Astyanax mexicanus: one gene and its partner. The protein of the gene in region 1 purifies or fractionates together with the protein of each later gene. This does not show direct contact. Links are inferred from orthologs where the notes say so. Each region holds a gene or a part of one and is shown in the gene's direction. Other genes may lie near its edges.

Region 1 (10,709 bases):
CTGGAATTCTGTGTAAATATCTGCCACAAGTTGTGGAACAATTTCAGAAAAAACATAAAAATATAAAAATTAAAAAATTAAGACTTTCCTCCATATACAGCCCATAATATCACCAACAGATCAAGAGAATCTGAAATCCCACCGATCATTTAAACAAAATGTGGCCAAATTAATAAAAATGATACATTTTATTCTTATAGTCGAGTCACTGAGTGTAAATTCCTCCTCCGGCTGATTTTATTGGTTCCTGCTGCAGAGCTGCAAAACTTTAGGAGACGCTTTCAGGACAGCGACGTTTGGACTAATTTAAATATCTGATACAGGTTCAGTAACAGAAACAAACCAGGAGATTTTACACAAATCTGCTGAACCCAGAGCGTCAAAAGGCAGCTGCTGATACGTTCTGATAATGTGATGATAAAGGGAGGCCATGTTTACAAAAAAGTCAAGGTTTTTATTTAATTATTTATTTACAGAGTCTAAATATCATGCACCGAGACCAATTTGAAAAGGACTAGTTTAACCGGCCAATGAAAAAATAGCATCACTTATTACAGCAAACAAACAAAAACACTCACAATCAACCATGGAGCGAGATATGCCTGATTTTTACACAGCGCAACAGATTTAATAAGAACTAAAACTGTAATAAAACATCATGACCCTTTATTAGCAGTTAAGTATCAGAGTTAAAATTACAGAAACACAGAATCACACAGGATAAGATGATAATTCTTAACAAGAAATATAAATATATTTTACAGAATGATCTCGTACCTGGATAGATGTAAGAATAGAAGATACATCATACGTGGGACTCCAGCGATTCTGAAGAATGTCTAAACATATACTTCCATCTGCATAAACTACAACACACAACAACACATTCTATAATCACACACTGTGAGGCATTAAGGGTGCGCATAAACACACACACACTCGCTCACACTCACACTGAATAGTGAGGTACCGGGGTGATTGTGTATTTGGGATTATTGATCACAGAGGGATGAACTTCTCACCGTTTGGGTGGAACATTTTGGAGATAAACCGAACCGTAGGAGGTTTGTTAGGATATTCTTCTGAAAATTCTATCACAAGCTTAAACGTTCCTGCAAGAAAATGCAGAGTTAAGATTAAAATAAATAATAAACAGTCAGCAGTATGAAATAAACGCTACCTTACACTACACTTCTAATAACTGAACTCAGCAATTTAACCTCTGTTAAAACTGTGCTGTGTCTTTCTGTGCGCAGAATAGCGGGTGTGATTTCCAGGTATTTTATTTGTAGTATTAAGAGATAATTGGCTTACCATCTTCAAATGGTGTTCCCACAGGTCTGTAAAAAAAACACACATTTCTGGTTACTTAATACAACTAAAAACATATCAATCTTATCTGGTCAGGGAATTCTCACCAGTGCTAAATTATTAAATATATTGTGATATATTTTGTCATATTGTCCAGGTCTACTTTAGTGTTTTATTTATAAGTTGTCCCATTTTAACCCTGCTCTATCAGTATCTGCAGCTTTATATTGTAAGTATTAGTTATAAATATCAGTACTCACCCAAAAATAACCGCATTCCAGAGCATGATGTTGTTTTCTGATGGAGCTCCACTCACGCCCGTCGGCGGGTCTTCTTGAAGTCTGATTATAAAAGAGAGGAAACGCTTGTGTTTAAACACTAGTGAGGACGGATATCTGTGAACATGGCAGCACCTTTAATTTTACAGTGCAAAGTTCTTTAAATTCACTGAACTGAAGCTTCATGAAACAAAATTAACAGGATTTTTAGAGGCTGAACTGAAACGATTCCCACAATCCCTCAGTACAATTCACTCCCAAATCAGTGAAACGTCAGTAGTGTTGTTAATTATATTTTATATACAGTCAAATTAAATGTCTTTAGGCCTGAGGTGCGAAATACAGCATCAGCAGCATCGGCAGCAGGACGAATATTCATAACAGGAACCGAGCCGGACATTACTCACACATATACACAAAACCATAAATTACATCTGTATAACATATTGTATAGTGGTATATAAACTCTGGTTATAGTGCTGTATATATGGTGTGTATATATAGTGTATGCACTCTGGTTATGGCGGTGTATATACTCTGGTTATAGTGGTGTATATACTCTGGTTCTCTGGTGTTTTGGTGTATTGGTAGAACTCAGTTAGCGAAGGCTGGGAGGTGCGGATGTTTATTAGATATATAGTCAGTTGGTTAGATAGTTAATAAAGTAAATACAGTAATAAACACAGTAATAAATACAGAGGTAAAGCGCCGTTCTGGAGCGAAGCGGGTCGCGGGAGCGAGCGGCGGCTAACCGGCTAACCGAGCCCGGTGTTGTGTCGAGTTCTGCTACCCTGTCAACCAGCGCTACCCTAGTTTATAATGTTTAACTGTAAAAATACTGATTATTAGAACATGCTGCATGCCGTAGAAGTGTCGCTATGATATTTGAATAGCCTAAATCAGGATAAAGTTAAGGCAATATAGGTGATAAAATATTTACATATAGATATATATTTATATTATTATACATTTTTTTCATTGCTGTAACACTCAAGAAAACGATTACTGCGATTTCAGATTGTATAATGCACTCGGTAATAAAAAAAAACTAAATTATCAGGAAAAACAAGAAGTGGGTAACCCAGGTCCAGAAAATAAATATCCAAACCAGGGTTTTGTACCCACTGCCTGGGCTGGGCTGAGCTGAGCTGGGTGAGATGGGTTGGTACAAAACCTTGGGATGGATTTTTACTTTCTCGACCTGGGTCACCTATCGATGGGTAGCACAACTCGACAGAACACCATCCCCGAATAAACCCGCCCTCGACCACATATTATACACAGATATACAGGTGTATAAAGGTGTGTATAAAGGTAATGTACCGTTTGAAGTCTCGCATTAGTCTCCGGCGGGCCGGGGTGGACATGTTTCGGGGGTTTGATGGTAAAAATCGGAGCCGCAGGAGAACCAGGCCTCTTCTCTCTGCTCCAAACAACCCGTGACGTCATACCACAGACCCCGCCTCCAGCGCGCGCCTTCCCGACAAACACTGTTCACAGAAGCCTTATGTGTTTATTATTTAATTTCTTTTATTCATTTTCTTTTTTATTAGTTCATAACCCTTAATGTTATACGTTCTACATTTATGTAAATATCGGAGGTGTTTTAAATTATACTGTAATTTTTATTATTGCTGCTTAGTGTAAATCTCTCTAAAATGAAGGGAAATTTTAAATTACACAACAGATCTCGACAAACAAAATATTCAAAATATACATTTTGTAATTATCTGAGAACAAAAGAACACAAAAAACAACCCCTGGAAGGCTAGATGTAAATTAATACAGAAAATAAAAGTAAAACATTGAAACCCTATAAGTAGATAGATAGAACCTACTTTAACAATTTAGACACAAATATTATATTTGCTCGTTTATTTTTTTGAAGAAAACGATCCATTATTACATATTTGTGAGTGTAAAATAATGTAAATATCCGATTTCAGTATCTGGTGTGAGTTTCCTTCTTTACAGTAATAACTGATCTAAATGTTTCCGGTCTCTGTAGATCAGTCCTGGAGGAACTTTAACTCAGAACAGCTTTAACTCTGGGATGTTGGTGGTTAATCAGGTTTCCTCACATTAACTGATCACTTCACTCTGTCCACAACATTTCTACTGGATTAAGATCAGGACTTTATTGGCCCCATTACAAAACATTCTTGATTCGTTCTTGTTCTTCTTGTGTGTGTATAGTGTGTGTCTATATAGTGTGTGTGTGGTGTGTGTATATAGTGTGAGTGTGTGTGTTACTTGTTTATTGGTGGTCTTGAGGACACTGATGACATCATTACTGGGATGAAAGCTCCTGCAGTGTGAAGTGCTTGTAATTCGCTTTAGTTCATTAATATTCATAATTCAGCTTTTAATGTGCTGATGATAGTGATGATAGTGATGATCTTTGATGTTTGTGTTCTTTTCAGGTGACAAATGCCTCTCAAACCTTTTCATATATATATTTACTGAATGTTCAGATGAGTATAATAGGGGATGATGTCAGATTGATGTTACAGGAGGGTTTCTCAGCTGTTCTCAGATAAAGCTGATTAATTATCTTTCTCGTTTAAAAACATTTAAACATTTTATAGATCCGTATTTTATTCAATATTGAAGTTCTCAGTACTTCACCGTTACAGAAGTGCTGTGTGTGATATTAGCGGGTAAATATAAACCGCAGCTGATGAAGAGTCATCACACTGCTCCATAATTTGTTTTTACAGCATAAGATAAGATAAGCGTTATCCCTCAAGAAACCAAACCCTTTCCACACTAACTAAATATGAGCATTATGTTTTGGAATTAAAACACAGATAGTAACCTGACACAATATAACGATATATAATTTTTTATATCCTGTATAACAGAGGTTCTCAAATTGTAGTATATACACTGCTAGTGGAGAATATTTATGCACAAAGAGATGAATAATTATTAAAAACTATAATTTCTTCTATTTTTATAACTTAGGTTTGTTTATGTTAGTGCTGGTCTTTAACTACAGTACTATAATTATTAATATCAGTTTAATAAGCCCTACAGTAAAACCCTGTGGAACCGAAACAACCCCAGTAGTTTCTGTGTCAGAAAAGATATCAAAATATTTAATGTAAGATTCAATGTGATGCCATATATCACTACATCATCTCAAACTACGATTGTTTTCCTCTGTTTTCCAGATGTCTTAGTATGCATACTGCATGTCAATAATCAATAATTTTCCTATTGCAGAGGAGGATAAGGTCCACACAGCAGCTGCGGTTGGTGGAATTTTAGCTGAATGATATGTTGTTTAAAATGTCTGAAAACCATGATTGTAGAAAAATACATTATTAATTTATAAAAGTGTAAACCTCCAAATTCCATATTTACTCATAATGAACACATTATTACATATTGTGGTTCACACAGCTGCCTGGTTTTGAGGATAAACAAAAATTGGAGGGCTTCACACTGACGCTCTTAGTGTGGACTGTTCCTATAAGCTATTCACCAATTAATTAAGTTAGTTTTAAAGAATGAAAAAAGAATGTTACTGTTGAAACAGAAGAACAGTCGCCTGAACAATTGAACCTGTCTGTCGCCCCAGCTCGACCACGTTTCTATCAAACCTTATTTTAAAAGTGATTTATATATAGTATTTTAGGCACATTTTATTAAAAATAGCCAGTATCTAATATATCAAAAATATATCGATTTGTATGACGTATCGCCCAGCCCTACTGAGGACCAATGAGGAGGCGCGGTCCGCCTATCTGCAGCCAATCAGAGCGGCGCTTGCAGCCGGTAAGACTGCGTGCGAGAGGCTGTGTCCGCGGGCGGGACCGGAGCTGCGTGTTTATTTCCTGCTCAGTTTGTGTTTTTTTTACCGGATAAAATAGCGGATAAGAGCCGTATGAACCCAAGGGACTGATCGAGCTGATCGCGGCGAGGCGCTGGGAGACTCCGGGGCGGATCTGAGAGATTTATCTGCAGTTTAACCGGCTGAAGATCGCGGTATGGATGAGAAGGCGTTCACCAAGGAGCTGGATCAGTGGATCGAGCAGCTCAACGACTGCAAGCAGCTCTCCGAGAGCCAGGTCAAAACCCTGTGCGAGAAGGTACGAAGTGATCAGGAGTGATAAAGAGTGTGCTGGGGTGAGCGGGCTGCGGGTTGAGTGGTGCAGTGCGGGAGTTGAGGTGCGGGGGAGCAGTAAGATGGCGTCGGAATTTTTTTAACGCCGTTAAACTCTGGTTAGTTTGTTCCGCAGCGCTTCAGCGTTCAGTTTACTGTAACACAGATAAACACCGAGAATATCTACAGGTGATCCGGGAGCCGCGGCTATATTATTACTATATTATATACTCGCCCTGAAACCGCCTTGCCTGGCTTAGCATAGCATAGCATAGCATAGCACAGCTAACTACAGGCGTGTGGGCCGGACAGCCGCTAACTAGCTTAACCTAGCCTAGCCTAGCTCACTAACCCACCCGCTAAAGCCCGGCTCTCTACACCGCGCTGCTCCGCGGGGTCAGACCAGCTGCTATATTGATCATTAATCTCGCATAAAGAAATATTTGTTGTTATTTTAGGTTAATTTGAACTGAGTGGTTGTAGAGCCGGGTTAGCCACCGCTCTCCGCTTCTTTCTGTGCAGAAACTCAAAATGGCGCCGCGTTTCTGAGCCTCAACAGCAGATGCTACAGAGACCATTACACTAACATCACTAATCACCATAAACACACTAATACTAACACAATTACACTCTAACATCACCACCAACACACTAATACTAACATTACCACACTAACATCACCATAAACACCCTAACCCAGGACCCACAGTCAATTACACTACTAACACTAACATCACCACTAACACACTATTACCAACACACTTATACTGACAAACTAACATCACCAGTAATATACTAATACTATAACACTCTGGAACACTCGCCAGGGGCCTGCAGAGTCCATTACATTATTAACACAATAACAATCATTAACACACTAATAGATAATTAAAGAGAGAAATTAACAAATGGCTCTGTAGTCCCTATGATGTAATCCCTACACTGTTTTTTTGGAGGGGGGGAGGGGGTCATGAAATAATTTTTTTTTATTGTTTTGGTTTAGTTCTGGTTGCTGCGTTCTGGTTAACATGTTACGAAGTTAGACATATTGATATGCTACCTGTTTATCAATTGTTTCTTTTTTTTTGCCTAAATATGCAATTGGCCAGTAATGTAGCTGACAGGTACGATGCATGTCAACCTGTGTATTGGAGAAAAATTTTGCCTCTGTCTTTAAGTCACCTGTGCCGTAAATACACACATACATGCTAGTGAGCACACACACATATCATCAAAAAAAAAAAAAAACACTGAGCCAGCTCTGCCTCATAACTACTATAATGTAGAATATGTAAAAAAAAAAAAAGTGCTTTGTGGAGAAAGAGTCCATTACTCATCCCGGAGTGTCGGCAGAGCTAGAAAACACCGCAGCGATCTTGAGCTTGTGGTTCTGTTCGGAAAGTCTGGCTCTGGCAGATGATGTTCTAAATGGGGTTGGTTCCAAAGTGAAGAACATTTTTAATTTTGAAGATTGCAGACCAGTTTGCCTGGAAAGGCTAATTTGGTATCCAGCCATGCTCTTGATTGGGATCAGCTATCGACCGGCTGAGATAAGACGATCTTATTCTAACGATTTGAACTGGTTTAATTTGAGCCAAATCAGTAACTGCATCCCAAGTGTGCACACATTGCAGTGGAGTATTTGGATGTTTTCACAACAGCTCTATTTGAACCAGTTAAAACTAATTCTGGTTGGTGCAGTTTGTTTGGGTAGTAGTGAAAACAGTGCTGGGGGGGCCGGTAAATTTTATTTTATTTTTTTTGGTGCGTTTAGGTTTTTGCCGGTGTGTCTGGTCTTATGTAGGTCACTGCTGGTCTTGCTGTGTGTGAACCAGTCCTCCCAGTACACACTCCTCACACAACAAACAAAACCCTGACCTAATCCTGATGTGTACTAGTGGAACTTTATACACGACATTAGATAAAAGAGAGAGGAATTTTACAGGCAAAATGATCTGTTTAGACAAACCATGGAGGCCAAACCTTTTACCTAAAGTTGATATGGATGTTCAGGGCTCTAGACTTAAAGTCTCAAGATAAATGAATTAAAAAGAGTCTTTTTCGCACTATATACACTCCTCAAATATGCCTTGGAGTATCAACACTACACAGTTTCACATTAAAAGCTGAAATAATAATAAAAAATTCCAGCTTAAATACGATATACTAGTTCTTAGAGACAGATATTTCACAATAATTCAGAAGTGAAATCTGAGGGAGTTCGAAAGGTCCAGCGGGCTAAGCGCTGTCACTTCGACCACCAGTTCGAATCCAGGTCATGCAGTTTGTCATCTGCTTCTGGATCCCAAGACAACTGGCCTTGCTCTCTCTGGGGGGCTACAGTAGATGGCGCTCTTTCCTCTCATCACTCACAGGGTGATGTGAATCAGCACAAGGCTGCGTCTGTGAGCTGATGTATCAGAACCGAGTTGTTGCACTTTCCTCCGAGCGTTAGCGCTGTGATGCTACTCAGCAATGCTACATCAGCAGAGTCCTAATGAGTGGGTTGGATAATTGGCCGTGGAAAATGGGCAAGAAAAGAAAATTCTGAGAAAACAAAAAGGGTGAAATCTGAATGAAAAAAAATAAATTCTTTATTGTTCATGGTATACAAGTATAACAATATGAGATGGCCTGAGGACTTTTATCATGTAGCAGGGAAGCTACAATGGCTAACAGGTAACTGGCTATGCTAACTGTTTTCCGAGCTGAATAAATCTCTATTTTCTTAAGTAATTGTGTTGATTGCATGCCTTGGGAAGACTTTGAGTAACACCACAATGGGACATCACCATGGTACTTCGCTGACTCTGATTGGTTTAGAGCATGATATGGGTTGAGATGTGGTCTAAATTATTTACTTATTATCAAAGTTTAGTATAGTAGCTGAATAGCTGCCTATATATCGTGTGTTGACAGTGATTAACTGTTTTAATTGTTTTTCTAGGCTAAAGAAATTCTGACAAAGGAGTCGAACGTGCAGGAGGTACGATGTCCTGTAACAGTCTGTGGAGATGTTCACGGACAGTTTCACGATCTTATGGAGCTTTTCAGAATCGGAGGAAAATCACCGGATACGAACTACCTGTTTATGGGAGATTATGTGGACCGAGGTTATTACTCTGTGGAGACGGTCACGCTGCTCGTAGCTCTTAAGGTATGAACTACTGACAGTAAATTTTAACTACATTAAAACTAGCGTTTTGCCAAGATGGTGTTAAAAAGTAAAAAAAAAAAAAAATTGTTTAATTTATTTTTAGGTTAGGTACCGTGAGCGCATCACGATTCTCAGAGGGAACCACGAAAGCAGACAGATCACGCAGGTTTACGGCTTTTACGACGAGTGCCTCAGAAAATACGGCAACGCAAACGTTTGGAAATACTTTACAGACCTCTTCGATTACCTTCCCCTTACAGCTCTGGTAGATGGACAGGTAAATTCATCACCTAACTTTTAGTATTTGATCATTTTCTAAATGTATTCTGAATCTCTGCTGAAACTTTTAAACTGGATCTTCTCAGATATTCTGTCTTCATGGAGGACTGTCCCCGTCTATAGACACGCTGGATCACATCCGCGCCCTGGACCGCCTACAGGAAGTTCCACACGAGGTGAGTATGGATGACCTTGCTAATTACTGTGTGTGTGTGTGTGTGTGTGTGTACAGGATTATTGCAGTAGTGTAATGCGTGCTGTGTGTTCCTCAGGGGCCGATGTGTGATCTGCTGTGGTCAGATCCGGATGATCGCGGCGGTTGGGGAATCTCACCCCGTGGCGCCGGCTACACCTTCGGGCAGGACATTTCTGAAACCTTTAACCACGCCAACGGCCTTACCCTCGTCTCCAGAGCTCATCAGCTGGTGATGGAGGTGAGTCGAGGGGTAAACGCTGGATGTGAGGGTGGAGGTGATTATGGAAACTGTGGTGTTAGGGGTTTGCAGGAGTTAAAGTTGTATAACTGCCTGATTTTAATGAAGATTTCTAATGTATTCTTTAATCTCAGGGTTATAACTGGTGCCACGATCGTAATGTGGTAACGATCTTCAGCGCACCAAACTACTGCTATCGCTGCGGGAATCAAGCAGCAATCATGGAACTGGATGACACCCTAAAGTATTCTTTGTAAGTGTCTTTAGATTAATAAAATAATGTAGAAAGAATATGTGGATATGTTTGCTATATAATATTTTATGTATGTATGTATGTATGTATAAATATATAAATAAATAGATGAGGCACTTGGTTTAGCTCTGTTCTGCAGGTGTATTTTCCTCTGCTCTTTTAACTGGTAGAACCTGAACATCATTCTGTAAAAAAAAAAAAAAAGAGGAATATTTTGTTTTTGTTTCTTATCCCCAATAAACATGACTAACTATTGATCTTTTTTTCTTCACAGCCTGCAGTTTGATCCCGCCCCTCGCAGAGGAGAACCCCACGTTACTCGCCGAACACCGGACTACTTCCTCTAATCCTGTGAAACACAGAGCTGTATCGCCACCATGTAATAATCTATATTCAGCTTCAGAAACAGGGGGGGGCGGGTTAGCTCCGGTCAATGGGGGGGTGGGGGAGGTGGTTAGGGGGATTTGTTGGGGGTGGGGGGGCGGGGGTTACTGGGCGGCTCTTTAAAGATTCAGAGAAGAAATGTCTGTATACATGGACCAAACGATGTGTGCCATACCCAAAAAATTAAATCCAGAAGCCTGTGTCCAGTATTATCTCATGATCTCAGTAGTTTCTCTCTCCGTTCTCCTCGTTCGGTCTGTGGGAAGGAAACGAACTCTGAACGCGTTTCCGCCGCTATACTTTGTGAATTTCATGTTTCTGAACAGTTTTTAATGTTTGCACTTTTTTCTTTCACATTTTTTCAAAGCGAGGAGGTGAACTGAGGCATGTGGCGTTTTCTGAGCAATATTTTCCTTTTTCATTTCTTTTTTTTTTTTTTTTTTACACTGAGGATGTTTTTTCTGTAAGTATATACCCCAGCAGCCATTTACAACAGAAGAGA
Region 2 (10,718 bases), on another chromosome or scaffold:
CACCAAATATTGATTTCTGAACTCTTAAAACTTTATGAATATGAACTTGTTTTCTTTGCATTATTTGAGGTCTGAAAGCTCTGCATCTTTTTTTGTTATTTCAGCCATTTCTCATTTTCGGTAAATAAATGCTCTAAATGAGAATATTTCTATTTGTAATTTGGGAGAAATGTTGTCTGTAGTTTATAGAATAAAACAGCAATTTTCATTTCACTCAAACATAAACCTATAAATAGCAAAATCAAAGAAACTGATTCAGAAACTGAAGTGGTCTCTTATTTTTTGTGTGCTTGGGTAGGAAAACCTTTAAAATGGTGCACTGCCACGTATATGTGGTTTATTTGAGTCTTTTAAGTCTAGACAAGGAGGTTACCTGGGGAATATTCTATATTGATTAGAAGTAAAATACGCTAGACTCATGCAAACGTCTAATTTAAAGTTCAGTGCTGCATTTCTGTCTCTTTTTTAAGATCCAGTGATACATATACCTGAGTAACCAAATCAGGCACCAACACAAGCACCTAGCAGTAGCACCTAGCAACCACAACAAGTTCCAAACTATACCCTAGCAACAAACACGCAGCAATACAGAACTCATTTTATATCACATATCTAGCAACTGCTTAGCAATACCATAAGAACCATCTGGGATACCACAGCAACTTCCTAGCAACCACCTACTAATCCTCTAGCAACCATATAGCAACCACTTAGAAATACCATAAGAACCGCTCACAATATCAGAGCAACTATTAAGCAATCACATAGCAACAGTCCAGCAACTATCTGGGATATCACAGCAACCATCTAGAAATATCATAGCAAACGCCTACCAACCCTATACCCTATACCACTAAAACACCCCCTTTATATTAGCAACACAACAGCAACAATTTAGCACCTAGTAGTAGCACCTAGCAACCACTTGAACCTCATTAGAACCACCTGAGATACTATAACAAGTCCCAAACAATGCCCTAGCAACCACCGTGCAGCAATACAGAAGTCATTTTATAGCACATATCCAGCAACTGCTTAGCAATACCACAAGAACCATCTGGGATAGCAGCAACTGCCTAGCAACCACCTACTTATCCTCTAGCAACCATATAGCAACAGTATAGCACCCAACTAGCAACCACTTAGAAATATCATAAGAACCACTCACAATATCACAGCAACTGCCAAGCAATTACACAGCAACACCCCAGCAACAACCTAGGATACCACAGCAACCATCTAGGAATATCATAGCAAACACCTACCAACCCTTAGGGTTACCAACGCTTAGCAATACCAGCGATACCACTACAACTACCTAGCAATCCCCTAGCAATCATACAGCAACAGTATAGCACCCATCTAGCAACCACTCAGAAATACCATAAGAACAACCACAACAGCAACTGCCTAGCAATCACATAGCAAAGCAACACCACAACAACCACCTGGTATACCACCGCAACCATCTAGGAACATCATACCAAACACCTACCAACCCTATACCTATCAACTAATCACTCAGCAACACCATAGAACCACCTGAGATATCACAGTAGCCAGGAGCCTGAAACCACCCAGGACACCAGAGGAACCACCTAGAAGCCCCTTAAGTACGAAACCCGCTTAGCCACCCCTACCTCACTTAGCAGCAACCTAACACCCATAGCAAGACATTGCATCCATGTAGCAACCAGCATACTGCTTGCCAATGAAGGACCACAGCAAACACCTGGGAGACCATAGAAACCAACTAGCAACATCATAGCAACCACCTAGGAACACAATATGTAGTATAAACTTAAAATGGAGTAAACATTACTGTTTAAAGCGTATTTACTATGTTCGTTAAACAAGGCTATAATCATTCCTTAAGACTGTAAGAAGCTCATCGTTTTTAAGTGCTCTCTTATTCTTTTGAAAATCTGTAGACTTGGAGGACCACAGCAACCACAAAGGCTTACATACAGCAACAAGAATGGCTTAGTTCTTATAAAGCATGTTTACACTGTTGTTCAGCTAACAAAAGGCCTGCTATGACTCCAAGTATAACACCTAATATACACTTTTATACAGTCTGCTCTATTCTTAAACATTGAAAGGCATTACTCAATAGAGTCACATTTCACTTCCATCACAGCTACTACCTGACCCCAATCAAGCCTAGGACACAATCCAAAAACATGAAACACAGTCTATCTATTAGAGAGAAACCAGAGGAAACAACCCCAATGGCAGATGATGAAACCAAAAAATAAGCTCTTGGAATAAGCTTAAATATTGATTATTAATATTATATGTTACATTTACTGCAAAACCGATAGCCAACCACGTTATCCCTTTTACTCCTGCATGTGAAGCCTATTCTATCCTCTTCTATTGACAAGTTGTTGACAAACAGCCCAGCAGGCCCTGATGGAGATGGTTAACAGGGAGGTTAACAGGGAATCCCAGCCTCTCCAAAAACTGTGAACCCTTCCTGGCTCCTGCTACATCACAACCAGAGAGATAAAGGAAGAAACACACGCAGATGGATGGATGGATGGATGGATGGATGGATGGATGGATGCTGGTTGGAATAAATGCAGGATGCAGAATACAGGGATGTAACAGTGGGATGCATCTAACCATAAGTGCATGATCCAGGGTTGTGCTGTGCTTCTTCTTCCTCCTCCTCCTCTTCTTCTTCTTCTTCTTCTTCTGCTTTATGTTGCTGCTGCTCCTTCAGTTTTCTGCGCGTTGCGGCCAGGCGGCCGCCGGATCCTCCGTCATGCTGTGTGAGTCGCGGCACACGCTCTGAAACGAGAACGGATGTGCTGTCATGCCCAGAGTTTCATGTAGACGACTGAGCATCTCCCCTCCAGTACTCCTCTCATCTCATGTCATCCCTGGAACGATGGAGGACGGGAAGAAAAAACTAGAATCCGGCTTCAGTGGAGAAGCAGCCGGGGATGATTCATCAGAAACAGCAGCAGAGGGAAAAACAGGAGGATGGGAAGGATGGATAAGAGCTCTGCTGCTAGAGGAGCAGCAGTTTTAGAGGGCGAGGGAGGGAGGCTGACACAGAGAGAGAGAGAGAGAAAAGGGTTGGGCGCTTGCTTACCATGAACACACCCCCAACCCTGATGAAGCAAGGGATGAAGCGATGAAGCTGGCAGCAGAGTAGAGGAGGAGAGGAGAAGGAAGAGGAGGAGGAAGAAGAAGAGGCTGTCAGATCACACACACATACATAACACACACACATACATATATATAACACACACACACATATATATAACACACACACACAGGAGCTTGAGGAGTATGGTGCAGAACTGGGATGCTGGGATGTCTCCTGGGGCTGCCAGTATTTGTGTGGTAGAGAGAAAGGTAGAGAGAAAAAGAGAGAGAGAGAGAGGGAGAGAGAGAGAGAGAGAGAGAGAGAGAGAGAGAGAGAGAGAAAGGCACATAACCTGTGGACGTCTTGCCACCTTCTGGCCACTAGCCTGTAACTGCAGCTCCATCTCTCAGAAATAAAAAAAACATCATTCCCACAGACAAAAACCAGACAGATACATATAAAGCACCACACAGTTCTATAGCTTAAGCTAGAGATCATTTTCAGCTTTAATGTTCTGCGTAATTTACCTCAAACACAGCAGAACCAAGACCCTTAAACTGTGATCCAAAACTGAGGAGCATGACCGGTCTCATCCTCTCAGCCGATACCCCTCCACTCCAACAGGGAGAGCTGTACTGAAACACAGACAATACAGACTGTGAATAACAATCATAGTATTAACAATGTTATAGTGACCAAACTGCTGTTAAATATTTAGTATGTTTATAGTAAGTTACTTAATTTCAGTAATTCAGTTCAAAATGTGAAACACAGAGTGATATATTTTAAGTGTTTATTTCTTGCATTGTTGATGATTATGGTTTACAGCCAATGAAAATCCAAAAAGCAGTGTCTCAGAATATTAGAATATTATTTTAAGACTAAAAAACATGGCACTGTCTTTGGACTTGATAAAACACAGTGGATCAACACCAGCAGATGACATGTCTCTCCAAACCATCACTGATCATCAGTAAATTTTACATTTCATTTGTAAATCAAGGGAGCAGAGTCTGGAGGAAGAGTGGAGAGACACACAGTCCAAACTGCTCAAGGTCTAGTGTTAAGTTTCCACCAATCAGTGATGGTTTGGAGAAACATGTCATCTGCTGGTGTTGATCCACTGTGTTTTATTATCAAGTCTAAAGTCTTGTTTTGTTTTCCCACAAAATCTTACAGCACTTCATACTGCCTTACCTTTGCTGACAACTTTTATGGATATGCAGATTTCATTTTCCAGCAGGACTTGGCCCACTGCCCACACTGCTAAAAAGTACCAATTGGTCTTACATAATATTCAAATTTTCTGAGACGCTGATTTTTGGGTTTTCATTGGCTGTAAGCCATAATAATAAATAAACACTTAAAATAGATCACTCTGTGTGTAATACATCTATATAATATGTGAGTTTCACATTTTGACCTGAAATACTGACATATTACATATTACTGACATGTTCACTTTTTTGAGATGCACTAGTATATATACTAGGGGCAACTAAAAACAAGTAACAAAAGCAATCATCAAGGAACTGTCCAACAATTCATGAAAAATGTGTATATATATTTGTGTAGATATATATTTTTGCTTCTGTCAGAAATCTGTAAAAACTATTATTTTATGTGGCAGTGATTTAGCCTAGCTTTATATATTTTACAATTTTCCTGAACTGCAAAGCAATGAGGTTTTATTTGCACTGTGTTTAAAATAAAAGCTGCTGAAAGGCTGAAGGAGGCTGCTTACTATTCTAACTGTAACTATGTTAGCCTTAGCGATACTGTGCTAATGCTAGCTATGTTAGCATTAGCGATACTGAGCTAACGCTAGATATGTTAGCCTTAGTAATAACGTTACTGAGCTATAGCTATAGCTATGTTAACGCTAGCGATTCTGAGCTAACTTTAGGTAAGGTAGCCTTAGCTATAGTGATGCTAAGCTAACACAGGCTAGGTTAGCTCACTATCAGTTAGCTACATGCTAAGAGCAATGTTATTGCTAACCAGTAAACTGAGTAATAATGTTGAATTAGCTGTTAGGAAAAAGGTGTAAGAGGAACTTCTCATCTTAATTATAGAAGCTGGAGTCTAGCTGTATAAACTGTAAAATGTTCTGCCAAAATAGATTTTATGGTTCTGGTTTACCTTAAATTCTTTCAGAAGTAACTGATAAAATATTATAATTCTTGCACCAGCTCTATTCCCTCCACCTAAATAATTCAGCACATATTATTAAGTTAATGGCTGCCCTTACTAAATTGATATTTTGAAATTTATTATTTTAAGATAAAAAAATAGTTTTTTTGAGATACATCTTTATTTTAAGATACAAAATAATAAAAATAATGACTTAGTATCTCAAAATAATGAGAGAGCAAAACAATGATGTGAAAAAAGGTATGATATGAATGACTATTATTATTAACGAGTTCTAAATAATTTCTTAATAACTCTGTCTTTGTTACTTTTGTGCTTTAAAAAATTGATATATTTGAATTTATCACATAAGTTATTAGAGTGATTGAGTAATTTGTGCGTCATTATTATTATTATTATTATTATTATTATTAACTTTTTATTGCAATCTTTTTCTTGACTACTTTTTTCACATAACAACCTCACTACTTTTCCATTGTATATTTTGTATATTAAGTATTACATATTAAGTATTATTATTATTATTATTATTATTATTATTATTATTATTATTATTATCATGACGCTGCGCGCGCCCCCGGTCGGGGGTGACGTCACGGGCATCATGTCGACTGGCCGCGTGCGCCATCTTGAGAGGAATAAGAAATCTCGGGCGATGCGCGCGGCGCGCTGATCGGACCCGACCGGACCGGAGCGGAGCTTCTCCACGGTTTGGGCCTGCGCTGCGATTCCCCGTTACGGGCAGCGGAAGACCGGCGGGAACTCGCGGCCGGAGAAAGAGAGAGAGAGCCGGGGGCCGGGGACAGATCTGCTGCTGCTGCTGCGGAGCGACGCGATGGCAGGTTAGAGCTGAAGTTTGGAGGAGGCGGAGGAGCAGCAGCGGAGGAGGAGAGGAGAGGAGGCGGGAGGAGGCTGCTGGTTACCCGGACTGAACTGCTACTTCACCCGGCCTGGACCCCCCTGTCTCTCTCTCCCTCCCTCTCTCTCTCTCCCCATCTATCACAATGTCTCTGTATTTCTCTATTTCTGCAGAACACAAACAATCAATCATTCAATCAAGCACCCATGCATTCACACACACACATATATGTACACATATACACACACTGTACTGTACTGTTCATAATCGCAGTGCACTGAAATGTGTGTGTGTGTTCTCTGTGTGTTTCTGCGCCGCGCGCCGCTGCAGGGGTCGGAGGAGGGAACGATTTCCAGTGGTGTTTCTCGCAGGTGAAGGGGGCCATAGACGAGGATGTGGCGGAAGGTAAGCCCGGCGCGTGCCTCTATCTGCATCTTTATATGCATCTAAACCAGCGTAACTGTGGTGTTGATGTGCTGCTGCTGCTGGTTTAGTGCAAGAACGAACGCACGCACGCGGGTGTTTAACGTTAGTTTATTTAAGCGTGCATGCACCCCGGTGCATGCACATATATGAGCTAGTTAGCTAGGTTAGCTATATGTGCATATGTCTTCTCTAGCTAAGGTGGCTAACTAGCCGCTCGCTGACTGCTGACAGAGACTCGTGCTTGCTTAGCGTTAGCCTTAGCATTAGTCTGAGTATTAGCATTAGCCTGAGCTTTAGCATTAGCATTAGCCTGTGCGCGCGACTATGGGAAGTAGTAGCACTAGGGAGGAGGAGGAGGAGGGTGCAGGGAGCTGGTTAGGCCATGCAATTTGTGTTCGTAATTTCTCAGCATGGAAAATAGAACTCGTCCAGCTCGTTCAGCCAGTGCGTCTTTACGCACGAGCCAAACCCGAGCCCATAGCTCGAGCCTCGGGTGTGTGTGTGTGTGTGTGTGTGTGTGTGTGCGCGCGCGCGTGCAGGCGGGCGCTGTGTGGAGGGATGGGAAGAGAGGGATGATTCAGTGCCATGTTCCTCTCACCTCACACTCCAGCACAGACAGGGCTGTAGGGCAGCTGCAGGGAGGAGGTGGATCATAGGCTTTTACTTTATTTCAGTAATCTAGTTAAAAATGTGAAACTCATATATTATATATGCATTAAACACACAAAGTGATCTATTTTAAGCGTTTATTTCTTTTATTGTTGATGATTATGAAGCTTACAGCCAATGAAAACTCCCAAAATATCAGTGTCTCAGAAAATTCGAATATTATATATAAGACCAACTGGTACTTTTGGCAGTGTGCCAAGTCCTGCTGGAAAATGAAATCTGCACCTCCAAAAATAAAATCACAGAAATATTGAATTGATAATAAAACACAGTTGATCAACATCAGCAGATGACAGACATGTCTCTCTAAACAATCACTGATTGGTGGAAACTTTACACTAGACCTCAAGCAGTTTGGACTGTGTGTCCAAACTGTGTATATATGTGTGTATATGTGACTGTATAAAATGCAGTAAGTTTTTGAATAGACTTTTTAAAGTAATGTTCTAGTGAAATATTTAATCTTCCAGTAGTCTAGTATTCAGTAGTTTAATATAATTTATTTGGCTAATTTCTGTTGATCCATCTATCAGGAAATTTTGATACAAAAACTTGAAACTGAACTGCTTGAATTTTTGCACCAGGAATAAAGCAGCATAAAGTTATCCAAAAGCAGTGTGTAAGACTGGTGGAGGAGAACATGATGCCAAGATGCATGAACAAACTGTGATTTAAAACCAGGGTTGTTCCACCAAATATTGATTTCTGAACTGTATGTATATTATTTGAGGTCTGAAAGTTCTGCATCTTTTTTGTTATTTCAGCCATTTTTCATTTTCTGCAAATAAATGCGCAAAATGAGAATATTTTAATGTGGGAGAAATGTTGTCTGTAGTTTATAGAATAAAACAACAATGTTAATTTTACTCAAACATAAACCTATAAATAGCAAAATCAGAGAAACTGATTTTTATAAAATTGGTGTAAAATAGTTTATTTGGATCATTTCTTTGAAGTTACAAGGTTCTTTCCCCTTTAAACAATGAAATGTGCAATAGAGCTGCTTCTCCTTTTCTTCTTCTATAGAGTGGTGTATTTGTGTTGTATTATTGTAAGGTCAGTGCAGTGATCTGTTGTTTGCGTGTCTGTAGCGTGAGTTTACTCTGAGACGTGTGTAGCTGCTGTTGTGTCGCTGTGTGAGGTCACGCATAGGACGAGCAGAGACAGACATATTCAGAAATATCACACATTGAAATGAGTACAGCGCTCTGCTCACTGCATGCATACAATTCTGTCCAATCCGGGGCCAGAATGATGTGAAATAAAAAAAAATTAAAAAGGAATTTTGTGTGTGTAGGGTGGTTTATTGTGAGATGCTCAGTTTTGAGAAAATCTATTAACCCATAATTGATCAGTGTTTTGCTGATTATGATTGACATCAATTATTAGTTGTATTAATAGAAAATATCGATAATGGATTTTCTTTTCTCCAAACTTGTTGAATGTTGAGATTGTTTGTTAATGCACCTCAGTACACAAACTTCTGAGGCTGTTCACTCCCACAGTTCTCACTTATTCATTGATTTAGTGCTGTGGCGCTATTACCATATTTTTCACACTAAAAGTTGCCCTTAAAATCCTTTAATTTTCCTAAAAATGATCAGAGCTCCTTATAATCCGGTGCTCCTTATGTATGAATTCTACCAGTCAGGTATTAAGGAGCAGTAAAGTCACTCTACTGAAGTACAGAGTTATACAGGAGTTTCAGTAAAGTTTCTCCAGCACTAAGGCTGGAGCAGCATTAGCATTAGCTGCTAACCACAGCACTAGCTCTTTTGCTGTTTAGGGGTGAACTGTATGAAAATAGACGTTTATTGAAATAGATGTTCATTGATGGTGCACTTTATAATGCGGTCCATTTATTAGGTTGTGCTAAGGCAGATAGAAAAGCTCTGCTTTGAACTCTTGAAACCTTTAAATCCCTGTTTTATTATTATTATTTTTTGTGTGTGCGTACATATCACAGTGCATGCCAGGCCTGTAGTTTTGAGTAAAGCTGTGTTAAGATGAAGTCCAGAGATGATTTAAGCTGTTTAACGGAAAACAGAGTTCTCCACTGTGTGATGTGGTATACTTGTGAATTTCTCATGCTGGTGGTGAACATCCGGTTGTGGTGATGCATGTTTTTTTTTTTTTTTTTTTTTTTTTTTTTTTTTTTTTTTGTGATTACGATTAGGGGTGGACAATATATACTGATATTTTATTTTATTTTAATTTTTTTGTGATATTTTTGGAGATAAAAAAGACAATCACAGAAATATTGAATTAATTTGTAGAATATTGAACAAATTGAGATGAAAAATTAATGTTACACTATGAATCAAGCTGTTTGGCATCTGACTACTGCGAGTGCAGGTGACGTACTCCTTCTTTCAGATCAGTGTGGGTGTTTATTCTGCCTGTTTTCTGCAATAATTTAGTTTAATTTGTGTTTAATGATTAAATACAATATAACTGTATGAGTATAACTGTGTGAAACTCTTCTGTATTGTTTAGTGTAGAGCAGGCTGTTGTGCAATGCTGTAGAAACACTGAAGATGTTCTCTGTGGGTAAAACCACTTGGAGGCTACAGTGTTGATGCAACAGAAAGTGAACAGTGGGTTATTTATTTTTTTTCACACCAGACAAGCTGAAAACCTGTTCAAGAAAAATAAATAAATAAATAAATAAATAATGTAAAAAAAAAAAAAAAAAGAATATATATATATATATATATATATATATATATATATATATATATATATATATATATATATATATATATATATATATATTTGAATTTTGTCTTAAATCATTGCTATAAACAATCTTTTTTATTTTATTTTACTCACCTAATAAGTACTAGGGCTTCAACTAACAATTATTTATATAATCGATTATTCTTTCTTTTTTTTTTCTTTTTTTTTAATCAGATTAAAAGCGGGGGGAAAAGCAAAACTTGATTTCCAACATTTTATTTAATGAACCATACTGTTTTTTCACTGATGATGATGTAATTGTATAAGAAACACGCAACCTGCCATTGTAAAAAATATTAACATAAATACATAAACATAAATAATTAACCTGACAGTTACATACATTTTATTATCATTGTTTAGTTACTAAAAAAATTGCATGTGATTTAAATATACACCCAGCCTTAGTGGAAATCTGGAAATCTTAGCTTACTGTAAATAAACGTAAGCATTTTACTCTTTACCTAAATAAAAGGTTTTTAGGAGAGAAATCTGTGCAGATAAACATTTAATCTATATATATATATATTAATTTATTATATTTTGTTTAAAGAATTACAGTTTTGTTTGGTTAGCTTTACTTAACTTTACTCCCCAAGCACCACCCAGCGGTGAGACCCCTGAAAAGGGAAAAAAAAAATGGTGACACCCCTGTTCCTTACAAGTGTCGCATAATGCGCCTTATGTATGAAAATAGACCAGAAAATCAATGATAATACAAAAAATACAGTACATGCTTCAACTACTTTAATGGCTTCAGGTGAAGAAGTG

The links. Proteins that work in one complex are often made in the same cells at the same time.
Region 2: the proteins of ppp2cab (region 1) and ppp2r2d purify together in Homo sapiens (affinity purification with mass spectrometry; 8 studies listed by BioGRID and IntAct, counting the BioPlex papers as one, with this or other methods). This does not show direct contact. The link is inferred for Astyanax mexicanus from reciprocal best matches to the Homo sapiens genes PPP2CA and PPP2R2D.

What each region holds. Positions count from the first base shown.
Region 1 is NC_064424.1:48,041,862-48,052,570, reverse strand, and holds the start of ppp2cab (serine/threonine-protein phosphatase 2A catalytic subunit alpha isoform), read left to right. Parts: upstream 1-5,367; 5' UTR 5,368-5,584; coding exon 5,585-5,686; intron 5,687-8,647; coding exon 8,648-8,857; intron 8,858-8,960; coding exon 8,961-9,134; intron 9,135-9,222; coding exon 9,223-9,312; intron 9,313-9,408; coding exon 9,409-9,570; intron 9,571-9,704; coding exon 9,705-9,823; intron 9,824-10,097; coding exon 10,098-10,170; 3' UTR 10,171-10,709. Other genes in the region: ube2b (ubiquitin-conjugating enzyme E2 B), read right to left, coding at 778-866, 1,023-1,112, 1,315-1,340, 1,572-1,652, 2,913-2,956. UniProt on the Homo sapiens protein: Catalytic subunit of protein phosphatase 2A (PP2A), a serine/threonine phosphatase involved in the regulation of a wide variety of enzymes, signal transduction pathways, and cellular events.
Region 2 is NC_064422.1:11,976,551-11,987,268, forward strand, and holds the start of ppp2r2d (serine/threonine-protein phosphatase 2A 55 kDa regulatory subunit B delta isoform), read left to right. Parts: upstream 1-5,850; 5' UTR 5,851-6,089; coding exon 6,090-6,096; intron 6,097-6,443; coding exon 6,444-6,518; intron 6,519-10,718. UniProt on the Homo sapiens protein: Substrate-recognition subunit of protein phosphatase 2A (PP2A) that plays a key role in cell cycle by controlling mitosis entry and exit. Involved in chromosome clustering during late mitosis by mediating dephosphorylation of MKI67.